Rattus norvegicus: one gene and its partner. The protein of the gene in region 1 purifies or fractionates together with the protein of each later gene. This does not show direct contact. Links are inferred from orthologs where the notes say so. Each region holds a gene or a part of one and is shown in the gene's direction. Other genes may lie near its edges.

Region 1 (7,610 bases):
GGACCTCTGTTAGAGCAGTCGGTGCTCTTAACCACTGAGCCATCTCTCCAGCCCCTGTAGTTTGCACTTAGAAGCATGCCTTTGGATAAGCCACACTAGATATGCAGATAACAGCTACCATATTGAGCAGCATATGTCTAACTGAGTTCCCGGTGTCTGATTCATTTTCTCACACTAGCTCTAGAGTGCTAATAGTTTCCGGCTTATTCTTGACACTTAGCAGAAGTATTTTTGCATTTGTTCTATCTTAACATCTATAGACCTCACACATACAAGTGCCACAGTGCACATGGAGGTCAAGGAGGCCTGTGGGAATCCGTTGTCTTCTTCCACCATGTGCCTCCCGGGGGTCAAACTCAGGTCATCACGATCAGCAGCACAGACTTTTACCTGTTGAGCAATCTCATCAGGCCACAACTTCTTTCTTTCACTCATTCTGTTTGTTTTTTGAGTCAGGGTCTCTAAAGTAGTTCAAGTCCTGAAATTCAATATGTAGATCATGCTGGCTTGAAACTAACAGAGATTGTGCTGAGGTTAAAGTCCTGCATCGTGATGCCTTATTAGCCCCAACTATCTTTTAAAGCTATATTTTATGCATATGAGTACTCTATCTCTATGTACACCTATGCCAGAAGAGGGCATCAGATCACATTATAGTTCTGGGATTTGAACTCAGGACCTCTGGAAGAACAGTCAGTGCTCTTAACTACTGAGCCATCTCTCCAGCCCCTTCCCCCAACTATCCTTTCATAGACCTGAATACCTATCATCCAAAATACGGGGCTATACAATAACCTCTTGGATTTTTTTGTACTTTGTGAAAATAGCCTAAGAGGTGAAATATCAAATTCTGATTTCTCAGCCAAAGGAATGATATCAATTTTCCATGTACTCAGAACTCTGTGTGTGTGTGTGTGTGTGTGTGTGTGTAAATGATGAAAGCAATATGCAGATTACATGGTGAGAAAGAGTGTGTGTATAATACCCATAATTCAAAGTTTTATACCTTTGAAGTTAGTGACCTGGGCTTTCGAACTATGTTTACCCCTTCTTGAGCTGTGTGAGCAAAAGCATTTGAGGATGCCACCAGGAATGAGCTCAGAACTTCCAATACCAGTTTCTTACCCATTCCCCACGTGCAACCCATCTCCTCATCTTGACCACTTGTATTTCTCTTCCCTGCAGTGGTATCTGCTTCATCTTCTTCATCTGAATCTTCACCTAACATCTTCTTCTCCAATAACGCCTGCTGCTGTTTGCGAAGTTCCTTCAACTGTGTTACTGTTAATTCAGATTCTGCCTCTCGGTCTTCCTCTGGTCCCTAATGAATCAAGGAAAAAGTATATACGTATGTGGATTAAGAAGTGGAGAAATTGGGGCTGGAGAGATGGCTCAGAGGTTAAGAGCACTGGCTTTTCTTGCAGAGGTCCTGAGTTCAATTCCCAGCAACCCCATGGTGGCTCACAACCATCTGTAATGGGATCTAATGCCCTCTTCTGGTGTGCATGAAAACACTCATATACATAAAATAAGTAAACAAATGTTAAAAAAAAAAAAAAAGGAGGGTTGGGGATTTAGCTCAGTGGTAGAGCGTTTGCCTAGCAAGCGCAAGGCCCTGGGTTTGGTCCTCAGCTCCGGAAAAAAAAAAAGTGGAGAAATTACTTTCTGAGACACTGCAGTTATGCAGATCTGTGGCTCCGGACTGGGCCCCTATGCTTTTGTCAATGGTTACTAGAAGAATCTTTTTTTCTCAACTAAACCTTAAAGAAACTCAGAATCCCAGCACAGTGAAGTCCCAAGATTTTTTTTTCAATGTGGAAAGGTTTAATGAGAGAAGAGAAGAAGAAGAGAGGAAAGGCCGGCCATGGGCACGTGGGGGGAAAGGGGAAGATGGGGAGAGAAGGGACAGGGACAAAGAGGGCACGAGAAGAAGAGCAAGAGAGAGCAAGAGCCCACGATTTTTATTTTAGATTTTTCTACCTACCTGAAGGATAAAGAGCCGAGTGCTGCCTCCAAAGCGAATAACGTGCCCGACATGGACTCTACAGTAAGTGCGGGGTGGGATGCGAGTTTTGTTGAGGAAAGTGCCGTGGGTACTTCCCAGATCATAGAGATAAAAGCCCTGCCCCTGATCCTCAGAGTCTCCGCTGGGATCCGACCCCCGGTGCTGTAGTACAGCATGGTACCGAGACACGGAAGGATGCTCCAGGCATATGTCACAGCTAGCAAGCCTCCCGAAAAGGCAGTAGCTCGTGTCTTTCAAGGTGCGTGTACCAAGGATGGTGCCACCCTTCAGGGTTTCGAGACTGTAAGGGGCCGTGGCTGGGCTGCCCCACGATGGCTCTTGGTACGGGGGAGCCCGGGTCGGACCGCCAGAAGCAGGAGCTACCCTCGGAGAGCGGAGCTGTTCCACCGGTGGACCCCCAGTCTCCTCGCTGTCCGGCTGCGGTGGCGAGACCTCGGGCTCCCCACATCCAGAGTCTAGCTGCGCCGTGCTACATTCCTTCTTCACATCTTCAGGAACTGATGGACTGGAGGCCGGAGCCTTACTCCGCACTGCGGGAGGCACCGGCAAAACAGGCTTCTTAAACTCGCTACTAACATCCTGAGGTGCTGGCGCTTCTAACTGAGAGGTAGCATCAGCCATCCTCAGACGGGTGCAATCTCAAAATGTGTCCCTCGGAAACCCCTACCCCTCGCCCCCCATGTTCCTGCTCACGTCTCCTCCTCCTTCTCAGGTCCCTGACGTTTCTCTGGATTGCAACGTTGGAGTTCCCCTTTCAAAACTCACAGAACTTTAAAGTTGTGAATAGCACTAGGGAGTGACAATACCAGAAAGGGGGGAGGAGCTCTAGGAGTGCTGTGCAGAACACGGACATTTTTAGGCGTTGCAACCGGATAGTAATAACTTCCTGTGGCAGAGGGCGCTTGGGAAGAAGTGCTTCCGGTGGCCTTGGCCCATTAATCAATAAACAAGGCTCCTAGGCTTGACCTAGTCGTCGACTCGGACCTGTCAGAGTCAAGGCAGCCGCGTAGACCACTCCTGAGACAGGGCGGTGAGTGTTTGAGCTTTATTTTCTGGTTCAGGGTCAGAACGTCCCATTTTTCTGCTGCCCTGTAAATCAGACTTCCCAGGATCCTGTGGTTGGCGCCTAAGCCTAAGCCTGCAGATACCGAGCAAGGTATCTTGCTCCTACTCTGCAGCTCCCGAATTTAGGCTTGATAACTCCTTTACTCCTTTTGTGAAGTTGGGAAAGAAGCAATTTCTTGTTTGTTCATTCTTTTATTATTCGTAACAAACTGTTGAAGCAGCATGTTTAGTGGCTTTACGAACCTGTGCATCGAAACCTCTTTTCTCTTTAACTCTTTGTATTTACGACGTTGGCACGACACTGCACCACAGCTTCCACATCTGAAAAATTGCAAATAGTAGTGTTATTTTTAATAAGATTGTTGGAAAATTGAACTAAGCAGTAGTTTATATTATAACTCTTTGACAGAGGCCCGGATACTATACGAAGATGGTAGCTGTAACAAGTGGGAGAATGCAGATGAATAAGTAAACTAAAGTTAAGGTCCAGGGATAAAAGCAAATGAATGTGAGAATACAAAGAAAGGGGGTGTGTTGGGGAAATGTTGGGGGATGGCCATTTCAGTTGTCTTAAAGAACAAATTCAAGTCTGACAAAGATGTAGAAGGCGGCAGAGGATTCTGGCAGAGATCCCAACTCAAAGGTTCAATTATAAAAATGTCTGATGTTCTCAAGAAGCTGAGTAATGGGGCTGGAGAGATGGTTCTGTGGTTAACAGTGCTTGCTGCTCTTCCAGTGGACCTGGGTTCCATTTCTAGTGCCCACTTCAGGACAGTTCACAACCACCTCTAATTCCAGCTCCAGCGGGATCTGATGCCCTCTTCAGATCTCCTTGGCACCTACATACACATGGAGCATACCTACATACCCAACCCCCAACAGACAACAATAAAAATAAAATCTCTGTGAATTCATGGCCAGCCTGGTCTACAGAGCAAGTTCCAGGACAGCCGAGGCTACACAGAGAAACCCTGTCTTGAAATTAATTGATTGATTGATTGATTGATTGATTAAAAATAAAATACATTCTTAGCAAAGAAAATAAACTGAGGGGCCAGTTAGATGGCTCAGGAGGTAAAGGCACCTGCTACCAAGTCTGACAACCCGAGTTCAATCCGTGGAACCCACATGGTGAAAGGAGAGAACTGACTCTCACAAGGTTTCTTCTGCTTTTCACATGCACAGACACCGAAAATAAGTAAATGGGAGAGAGAGAGAGAGAGGGAGAGAGAGAGAGAGAGAGAGAGAGAGAGAGAGAGAGAGAGAGAAGAAACTGAGTAGTATATTGTTAGAACTGAGGTCGTTTCATCCAGGAAGCCCCTCATTTACCTGCAGAGCACTGAGCTCATGCCTTTAAAATAGCAGTGTCTGCTTGTTGTTATACTGCAATGGTTTGCTTCTGTTACTCTTCTCTCAGGACAAAGATCTTACACCTTCACACTTCACACTTCATCTGGAGAAGTAAATTAAAGACAGGTAATAGGTTTCATTGAATGGTAAGCCACAGAATTTGACTTTTTGCAAGCAAAAGAAAACAAAAAAGAAAAAAAGCTTGAAAGTGTAGCTCAGTAATAAATCACTTTCATAGCATGTGTTCAGTCTTCAGTACTGAGAAGGGGGCGGGGAGGCAGGGAGAGAGAGAAAAGGAAAAAGTCTAGCAACAGAGCCAAGTGTAGATCAGATTCTGAGAAAGACTGGAGCAGCAGTTCTCAACCTTTCTAAAACTGTGACCCTTTAACTATATAAGTACAATGTAGCTGTCTTCAGACACACCAGAAGAGGGCATCAGATCTCATTGCAGATGGTTGTGAGCCACCATGTGGTTGCTGGGATTTGAACTCAGGACCTCTAGAAGAACAGCAGTCAGTGCTCTTAGCCACTGAGCATCTCTCCAGCCCATAAAATTATTTTCATTGCTACTTTATAACTTTAATTTTGCTACAGTTCTGAATCCTAATGTAAATATCTGATATACAGGATATCTGATATTCCTTATGAAAGTGGTGCTCCCCAAAGGGGTTGAGAACCACTGGACTAGAGGAAGAAATACTTGTTAGAAGGCAGCAGAAGTCTCCCAGACTTCTGGGAGACAGCTCAGTCTATGAAATGCTTGCCATTGCAAGCGTGAGGATCTGAGTTCAATCCCCAAAACCCATATTAAAAAACCCAGGCATAGGTGCATGTGCTTATAAACTTAGCTTGTAAGGAGAGGAGCAGAAACGGGCAGATCCCCGGAATTTACTGTGAAGGGGGCGGTTCTGATGCTAAGGTCTTGTTCTCCAATTGGTTCTTGATTTGTCAGTACAGGAAGCTGGGGGCCAATTGCTGGGCGGAAGGAAGGTACAGGTGGAACTTCCGGGTCCCAGGAGGAAAAGGGAGAGGCAAGGAAGGGGAAAGGTTTTACTGCCATACTTTGGAGGAGGAAGAAGGGAGCAACTGTGTGAGGTCTCGGGAGAGCTGGGGCCTGTGGCCACTGCTCCAGGCGGGTGGTCATGGATGTTTGGCAGGGGCTAGGTGGGACTAGCCACTGAAGTTCGGGGCAGGTGTAGAGACAGAGATAAACATTTTAATAAGGGTATGCTTTTCCAGGTGGGAGACGGCAACTCCCAGCAACTATGCTGAGAAGGCAAGTTATAAAGAACAAACTGGGTGTGTTTTATTGACAGACTCAAGGGAAGATGGGAAGGGGCTGATCCCTAGAGATCCTGTCTGAAAAGGAAGACAGACTGTTGCCTGAGGCTGAGGCCTCCACGCCCTAAAGAATGTGTATTTGCTCATGTATATGTCCGAACTTGGGAACATAAGGCTGGATTAAAGGTTCATGAATGGCACAGCACAGATTGGAAAGCACCTATTAGTAATTTTTTGTTTTGTTTTTTGAGATCTGGTTTCTCTGTGTAGACCTGACTGTCCTGGAACTCACTCTGTAGATGAGGCTGGCCTTGAACTCAGAGATCCTCCTGCCTCTGCCTCCTGAGTTCTGGGAGAAAGGAGTGCACTACCACGTCTGGCCACCTGTTAGTATTTGTAATGCTACTCTGTTTCCTGTTCTAGCACAATTGTGTAGAAATGCTCTGAGTACTCCAGACCTCCCATTTAAGCTTGCTGCCTGTAAAGTATTTAGAATGAGGCATGCTGGGTATCCTGGAATGAATTTGTGCCGTGAAATAGGCAGTGTATATGTTAAGAGTCCCACACACCAGTCACTACTAATTAATGACTTTGATTGTCCTTTTGTAATTCAAAGAGGAATTGTCGCTGTGTGATTGGTATCTAGCAGTTATTTTTCTCTTCATTTCTTCAGGGAGAACATCGTTTGTCCTAGAGTTTTGCTAGCATCTTTTTCAAAGTGATCTTAACTTGCTCTTTATGTCAGAACTCCCTGGACTTCTGACCTTTCACTACAGAAACTTGTGATCTACAGTTGCCAGAGACGTAAACACACTTTAGGGTATCATCTACATTAAACCCAGAGCTCTTCTCTGCTTGCTCTAAAATGCTGAGGTACTGGGGAGAGATCCCAATACCATCAGGACAGACCAACAGAAGTTCCTTTGATCTGCTGCCTCGGGAGTTCCGTCTGGTGGAAGTCCATGACCCACCCCTGCACCAGCCCTCAGCCAACAAGCCGAAGCCCCCCACGATGCTGGACATCCCCTCAGAGCCCTGCAGCCTCACCATCCATACCATCCAGCTGATCCAGCACAACCGACGTCTGCGCAGCCTTATTGCCACAGCTCAGACCCAGAGTCAGCAGCAGAGCGAGGGTGTAAAGGCTGAAGAGAGTGAACCGCTTCCCTCCTGCCCGGGCTCACCTCCTCTCCCTGATGACCTCCAGCCTTTAGATTGTAAAAATCCCAATGCGCCATTTCAGATCCGGCACAGTGACCCAGAGAGTGACTTTTACCGGTAAGACAAGGCATTGCTCTGGTGTTTTTCTTAAGTGATCTCCTGCCCCATGATCCTGTTAGGGTAGTAATATCATTTCCACCTCTACATGAGGAGACTGGAGATGAGCGTGACTGACTAGGCTGATGTTGCTCAAGCCATTAATGTCAGAGTGGATGGAGGTGGTCCAAGTCGCCGAGAGCTGGTCTGTAATTATGTCATTTTTGTTTCTGTTTTTACTTTATGAGACAGAGTTTTTCTGTGTAGCCTTGGCTGTCCTGAAACTAGTTCTATGACTAGGCTGGCCTCAGACTCATAAAGATCCACCTGCCTCTGCTTCCCTAGTGCTGGGATTACAGACATGTGCCACCACTGTCTGCATTTTTAAATTTTCTACCACAATATGCATTTATTGGGTACTTATTAGTGCCAGACAGTTTACTGGAAGTGAAACAATACACTGATGCATGAATAGTAAAAATAGGCTGGGAAAGCTGTGACCCAGCATGGAGGAAATCAAAACAAAACAAAAAAGCCAGCTTGCAACGGTCAGCAGCATGTTCACATTTTGAGGATAATGTAGTTTCAGTCAGTAAAATATCGCTCGTCATATTAGGTTAGTGTCACTACA
Region 2 (7,460 bases), on another chromosome or scaffold:
TCTTACTTGTGTTTTTAATTTTTTTAGGTTCATTTTATGTGTATGAGTATTTTGCCCGCAGGTATGTATACATATGCACTGCAGCAGAAGGCATCTAATTCCCTGGAATTGGCTCTGAGGATGACTGTGAGCCACCACTGGTTGTGGGACTGGAACCCAGGTCCACCATAAGAGGAAGGGCTCATCTTGTAGTTAGGCATTCTCTGAGCCTTGGTTTTTGAGCAGAGTCTCATTATATAGCCATAGGTAACCTAAAACTCACCATGTAGACCAGGCAAGCCTTGATGCTCTGCCTCTGCCCCTGGAGTACTAGGACTGTAACAGGCCCCGACCTTAGCATAACTGACTCCATGATGGAAGTGTCATTCATCTGCTGTAAAACTCAGCAGATAGAAAACATCACCTAGCAAAAATGGAAACAAAAGTCAAATCCATCAAAGTTCATAGTTGTGGGAAGTCTCTTAAGATACTTTGTCAATGTACCTTTCTCTCTGGTTTCTGTAATTCTGCTTCTTGCTGTTGTTGTTAACTGAAGTATGTCAATCCAGACTGTGCTTTTTGTGCTTAAAAGCTCACCCAGAGAAAGGCTAGGGGCTACCCTGGAATACCAAGCAGCCAGGGTAATTGCTGGCCAGCTAATAAAGACTTTCTGTGGCTTATACCCATTTCTAAGTGGTCTTCTCTGATGAATATCCCCAACAGGATTACAGGGTTATAGAAGTGCACCACCAGTGCACCACCATGCCTAGTATTCTAGTTTGATTTTTTTTGAGACAGTGTTTCTCTGTGTGGCCTTAGCTATCCTAGAATTTCTTCTGTAGACTGAACTGGCCTTGAAGTCACAGAGATGTGCCTACCTTTGCCTCCCAGGTGCTGGGACTAAAGGCATGCACTGCCACTGCCTGCCTGTAAGTTTGATTTTTGTTGCTATAAAACATTTTAACTGAAAGCAACTTAGAGAAGAAAAGGTTCATTTGGCCTTTTTTTTTTTTTTTTTTTTTTTTTTTATTAACTTGAGTATTTCTTATATACATTTCGAGTGTTATTCCCTTTCCCGGTTTCCGGGCAAACATCCCCCTCATTTGGCCTTTTGAAGCAACAGCCCATCACTGGAGCAAAGTGGAGCAGGAATTCAGTCAGGATATTTATGTAAACAGGGAGGAGTGCTACTTGCTAGTTTGTTTGCTCACTGGCCCAAGTTTAGCTGCTGTGCTCTCTCTCTCTCTCTCTCTCTCTCTCTCTCTCTCTCTCTCTCCCTCTCTCTTCCTTCCTTCCTTTTCCTGTGTGTGTGTGTGTGTGTGTGTGTGTGTGTGTGTGTGTGTGTGTGTGTGTTTCAAGACATGGTTTCTCTGTGTAATAGCCTTGGCTGTCCTGGACTTGCTTTGTAGACCAGGCTGACCTCAAACTCACAGAAATCTACCTCTTCTTCCTGAGTGCTGGGATCAACGGCATATGCCACCATGCCTGACTTCTTTCTTTCCAGACTAGTCTCACTGGCTAGACTGGAACTCTCTATATAGAACAGGCTAGCCTCAAACTCATAGACATCTACCTGTCTGTCTTTCAAATGCTGTTAATTAGCTTTCCTATGTAGTTCAAGATCACCTTTCAAGAGAATGGTGCTACTGGTAGTGGGCTAGGATTAACATGGTAACATGGTAGTGCACTCCTATAATCCTACAATCCGTTAGACAATTCTCCACAAGCCAGGTCTGTCTGGGGAAATTCCTCAGTGAAGACGGCATTGTCCAGTGGCTCTAGCCAACTTGATTGTTAAAATTAACCAGGGCACCTGACTAGCCCTAATTCAATGAAAGAAAATTATTTTTTCAAACTTTAAAAATGTTGTGTCTGTGTGTGGGTATGTGCCCGTGAGTGCAGGTGCCAAAGGCAGGCAGAAGCATCAGTACCCTTAGGGTTAGAATTACAGACTGTTATGAGCCACCAGTGTGGGCACTGGAAACTGTACTTGGGCTCTTTGTAAAAGTAGTATATGTTTTTAATTGCTCAGCATTTCCCAAGCCATATATATATATATTTAAAATTTTCCTTGTTAGTCTGGGTGCTAAAATAGTTTGTGTTAAAATTTAAGGGGCTGGGGATTTAGCTCAGCGGTAGAGCGCTTACCTAGGAAGCGCAAGGCTCTGGGTTCGGTCCCCAGCTCCGAAAAAAAGAACCAAAAAAAAAAAAATTTAAGGTTTGCTAATAGAAAAATATCTGATAGCTTGTTGTGTGCCAGACACAGTGCTATATACTGGGAATGTCTAAAGATCTTGACCTTATAGCATTTGTAATTCTATCAGAGAATAACAATATGTGATTATAGGCTTTAAAAGACTTTCAAAACTAATTTTTGTTCTATGTATAGGTGTATATGTATCCATGCAGTCCCCTCTGAGGCCAGAAGAGGGCATCAGATGCCTTGGAGCTAGAGTTAGAGGCAGTCTGAGCCAGCTGATGTGAGTACTGGCATTCTAATTCTGGTGATCTTTCATTTATTTATTTTAAGGTATGAGTACACTGTCACTCTCTTCAAAGACACCAGAAGAGGGCATCAGATCCCATTACAGATGGTTGTGACACACCATGTGGTTGCTGGGAATTGAACTCAGGACCTCTGGAAGAGCAGTCAATGTTCTTAACCACTGAGCCATCTCTCCAGCCCGCAGCAAGTATTCTTAACCACCAAACCATATTGACTTTTTAGGTGTTATGTATGATACATTAGGATAGATAGTTGGAGTGGAAGTAGTCCCTAGGGATTGAGACCAGAACCATGCTAAGCAAGTGTCCTACCACTGCATTAACTGCCCAATCCACAAAGTAGGCATCCAAAGAATACCTTTATAGCTAAATGTTTGCATGTCCATATTTTTTATTTGCTGGGAAGATTCTGTAAATTATGAGTTCTAAACCTAAGACTGCTTATTTGGAATTTAAAAGTATTTTTAGATAAATTTTAAATTCACAGCAAACTTTAGCTTAAAGTACAGAATTCTCATATGCTTCCTGGGGGCCCTCCTTCCCTATCCCCAATAATCTGAAGTGGTTTTGTTGTTTTCTTCTGGTGCTAAGGATCCGATCCCATCACTTCCCACATGTTAGGCGAGGCTTCACACATGCTTTTCTGGTCCTTTGATTTATATGAAAGTTTTCGAGGGACATAAAAAACAAACAAGAACTCTGACCTAATAAATTGAGTACATCAAGGCACAAGTATCGAAGAACTACGTTTCCCAGGGTGCAATGCAGCACGTCACAGAGAAGTACCCGGCATGCGCAGAGGAGTCCTCCGCGCTCGACCGCGCTCATAAGAGAAACAGCGTGTGTGGTTCTTGACGTGCCGCGAACCTTCGAACGTAAGTGCGGGACTATCGTGTGAGGAAACGTTCCAGTGATTCGCTCTTCCCGCCATCGCAGTTACCAGCGCGACGTGCTGTTTTTCCCTGGGCTCGGTAGGTGGGACGGGGCCATGGCAAGGTACCTCCACGCAGCGCGGGAACGAAAGGCCAGCGTTCCTGCCCGGCGCCCGGCTCTCTGAGGCGGCTTCTGCGGAAACGCGCACGCGCCCTGGACGGGGAAGGGGGCGGGCTGTGGGAGCCGGCGCCCTGGGGTTTGCGCGTGCGCCCTACATCTCTGGAGAGGTGGGAAGCCGCTGGAGCTGACTAGTCTAGAGGCCGGCACCTGGTGAGGTCCTTGGTCCCAGACATCAGCACAGTTTACTACTTTCTTATTGAGAGGGACACTGTAGCCCAGCCTGGCCGTGAGATCGCAGTCCTCCCTCAATCCCAAGTGCTGAGATTACAGACTCCACAGCCCTAAAGGTGTCCATTTTCACAACAGTAACTTCATCCACTCTGTAGCTCACTCATCTGTCGGCTGACACATGTATCCTAGGACGTCTGCGTCTACTCATTAGCACATTCACCTGCCTCTCTAGGGAGGCCTTGTCTCATGCTGTCTCACAGAAACAGCTCTGTCAAAGCCGCCTTGAGTTCTGGATTCCCAAGTTCAGTGATAATGGCTTGGTAGCATCCTCTTTCATTGCCTCGGTCCTCTCTTAACCTAAAGAACTCTTGCTTCCATTTCTTCATCTTTAATGCTCGTACCTTCAGAATACATAAACCCTAATCTTGCCTTTTTTCTGTTCACTCCCTGGGCATTGTCTATTTCACACTTTAAATAAATAAAATTTATTTTGGTGCACTCAACTTTCTTTTTTTTTTTTTTTTTTTTTTTTACATATTTTTAATAATTTTATATAGGTTCACTGGTGCTGTCTTCAGACACACCAGAAGAGGGCATCAGATCCCATTGCAGATGGTTGTGAGCCACTCTGTGGTTGCTGGGAATTGAACTCAGGACCTCTGGAAGAGCAGTCAGTGCTCTTAACCACTGAGCCATCTCTCCAGCCCTTGTTTTTTTTTTTTTTTTTTTTTTTAGAGACAAAGTTTCTCTGTCTAGCCCTGGTTGTCCTGGAACTCACTCTGTAGACCAAGCTGGCCTTGAAGTCAGAGATCCAGCTGCCTCCGCCTCCCAAGTACTGGTATTAGTGTGCAACCACTGCCAGCTTCCCCGGGTGATTTAGATGTCAAGTTAAAACTAGCCGTCATGTGCTTCAGTGCTTTTTCATCCCGAGAGTAAATACATGGGATGTGTGCATTGCATGCTGAAGGGGGTGCACTGGGAGCAATGCACTGGGAGGTGTTTATCCTAAGACAGGACACGGTGCTCTTACACAGCTTAGATTATCAGCCTACTACACACCAAGTCCACATGGCATAGCCTGCCACTCCATATGTAGCATGTTACTACAGCAAATACTATAAAGGTGGTTTCCACAAAATGAAAAGTATTTGAGTATCTATACAGAAACAGTTCAGTAAAATACTAGGTGAGGGCCAGTGAAGAGGCTCAGAGGGTAAAGGAAGTTGTCACTAAGCATGACAACCTAAGCATGACCCATGTGGTAAGAAGAAAACCAGTAAACACTGTGGCATATGTACACCCATACTCAATAAATAAATGTTTAATAAGAAATAATGGGGTGATGAAAGTGTTTTGGGTTTATAATCTCATACATCTTTTTGAGCATTATAATCTCATGGGACTACATCATGTTCAATCTTTTTTTTTTTTCTGATGTATTCTTTGGCATGTGGCTCTATTTGTTTAATATGTGTCCATTCTGCATTGTCCTTTCACTACTGCATATCCCTTATGTCTTAGGTAATTAGTAAATGCTGCTGAATGGAATTATGAAAGGGCATAATTTCTCTTTTCTGCATGGGGGAAGTAGGTAGTCTCTCACGGAAGATGTTAGTACTTAACATGGAGACAGAGGAGACCTTGAGTAGCTCAGCTTCAAACCCGTTTCAGTGTTCTAAGTTGAAAGACTGCTTGAAGGGTGTTCAGGACTCAGCTCCATTCAGCAACCTGATTTGACAGCAGTATGTGCCAAGGCCCGGCAGAACAGAAAGATATCTAGAGTAGCAGCCTGTATGCTCCATGCTTGTCATCTGGTAGGAGAGCTGTCAGTGAAGCAGTTCATCATTTACATGAGTGACAGGTGCAAGAACAGAAGTTTACTGTGAAGACTGAGGCTGGAGAAATGTGAGTTCAGTGTCAGCCTGAACTGCACAGTGAGACCCTGCCCCTAAAGCAATAAAAGAAGCTTGGTATGGTGGCACGCACCTTTTAATCCCAGCACGGGGGAAGCAGAGGCAGATGAATCTCTGGGAGTTCCAGGTGTAAATTCCAGGGCAGTTTGAGTTGCATACTAAGACTGTGTCTCAAAACAACAATAAAAACATAACAAAACAAGAATAAAGTTTAAATGCAGTGCTTAGGCACTTTCCTGAAGTTGTGATTGGCCATAGACGAGGGCAAATGGAGGAGCCTGTGGCTGTTTGGGAGCTGTGTTGTCCTCCCCCAGCTTCATATGTAAATATCATGTTCTTGGGTTGCAATGTTGATAAGCTCAACTTGTTGAATTTTTTTTTTAATTTTTAAATTTTTATTTTTTGAGACAGGTTTCTCTCTATGTATAGCCCTGCCTGTCCTGGAACTTGTTCTGTAAACTAGGCTGTAGACTGTGATTTAAATCTTGAAAGTTGAATAAGTTAAAGTGACCTAGAAGGGAAGAAGAGAAGGATCAGGGGCACTTGAGGCAGACAGAACAGGGAAGAGTGTGTGCTTGTTTGGGGTGAAGAAGGTGTAGACTCTGGTTATCCTGGGTAGTGTGTATGATTAGTCAGAGAGATCAGGTGAATCCTTGGTTTTACTCCCAACTTTCTGAAGCTAGAAGTAGGGACATAGATACCCCTATCGCTACAGATTTCTAAATGTGTGTGGAGATTCTTTTTTTTTTTTTGTTCTTTTTTTCGGAGCTGGGGACCGAACCCAGGGCCTTGCACTTCCTAGGCAAGCGCTCTACCACTGAGCTAAATCCCCAACCCCGTGTGTGGAGATTCTTACAAAGTTTTTTTTTTTGTTTGTTTGTTTTTTTTTAAGATTTATTTATTTATTTTATGTATGTGAGTACACTGTAGCTGTCTTCACACACACCAGAAGAGGGCATCAGATCTCATTACAGATGGTTGTGAGCTACCATATGGTTGCTGGGAATTGAACTCAGGACCTCTGGAAGAGCAGTCAGTGCTCTTAACCACTGAGCCATCTCTCCAGCCCACAAGTTGGATTGGGTTGAACAATACTGTTGGTATCTCTCAAATTGTAGTTCCAGCCTATCAGGTGGAAGGTAGTTGGGTGAACATTGACCATTGTGAGTTGGATATAGATGCCCCTAAGGGTTGCTTGAGTATTCAGGCTTAGGCTGTAGTCACACAGAACTGAGTTAGAACCCCATCTTGGCCACTTACTGCTTGTGAACCTTGATAATCTGTTTTTCCAGACTCAGTTTCCAGCAAGTGCTAAATGATCAGTTCTTTTCAGGGTTATTAGGAAAATGACCTTCATACAAGCAGTTGATACATGGTAGTGCTTAGAAAAGAATGGCTGTTTTATATACATATATATTATATATCTTATGTATGTACTTTTCTGTATATACATCTGTATATCAGAAGACAGCATTAGGCAGTTGTGAGCTGCCATGTGGGTGCTGGGAAGTAAACTCAGAACTTTTACAACAGTAGTGAGTGCCTTAACCACTGACTCATCTTTCCAGCTCCCCACTCCCACCCCACCCATTAGGTTTTCTAGAGAACCAGAACCAGTAGGATCAAGATACATGAAAGAGTGTGTTAGCATGGGTCAGGTTACAGGATTATGGAGCTGAGAAGTCCTGTGGTCTGCCATCTACTAGCTGGAGGCCTAGAAAAGCCAAAGTCAGTCCAATTTAGACCTGTAAGTCTGACACCTGAAATTTGCCTGATAACTACTTCTGGAAATATCCTCACATGCACTCCTAAAAATGATATTTTTCTAACTGTAGTACA

What was found. Proteins that work in one complex are often made in the same cells at the same time.
Region 2: the proteins of Supt7l (region 1) and Sgf29 purify together in Homo sapiens (affinity purification with mass spectrometry; 4 studies listed by BioGRID and IntAct, counting the BioPlex papers as one, with this or other methods). This does not show direct contact. The link is inferred for Rattus norvegicus from reciprocal best matches to the Homo sapiens genes SUPT7L and SGF29.

Annotation. Positions count from the first base shown.
Region 1 is NC_086024.1:30,650,947-30,658,556, forward strand, and holds the start of Supt7l (STAGA complex 65 subunit gamma), read left to right. Parts: upstream 1-2,981; 5' UTR 2,982-3,056; intron 3,057-6,395; 5' UTR 6,396-6,587; coding exon 6,588-7,000; intron 7,001-7,610. Other genes in the region: Slc4a1ap (kanadaptin), read right to left, coding at 1,126-1,321, 1,985-2,647.
Region 2 is NC_086019.1:190,665,738-190,673,197, forward strand, and holds the start of Sgf29 (SAGA-associated factor 29), read left to right. Parts: upstream 1-3,290; 5' UTR 3,291-3,455; intron 3,456-7,460. UniProt on the Homo sapiens protein: Chromatin reader component of some histone acetyltransferase (HAT) SAGA-type complexes like the TFTC-HAT, ATAC or STAGA complexes.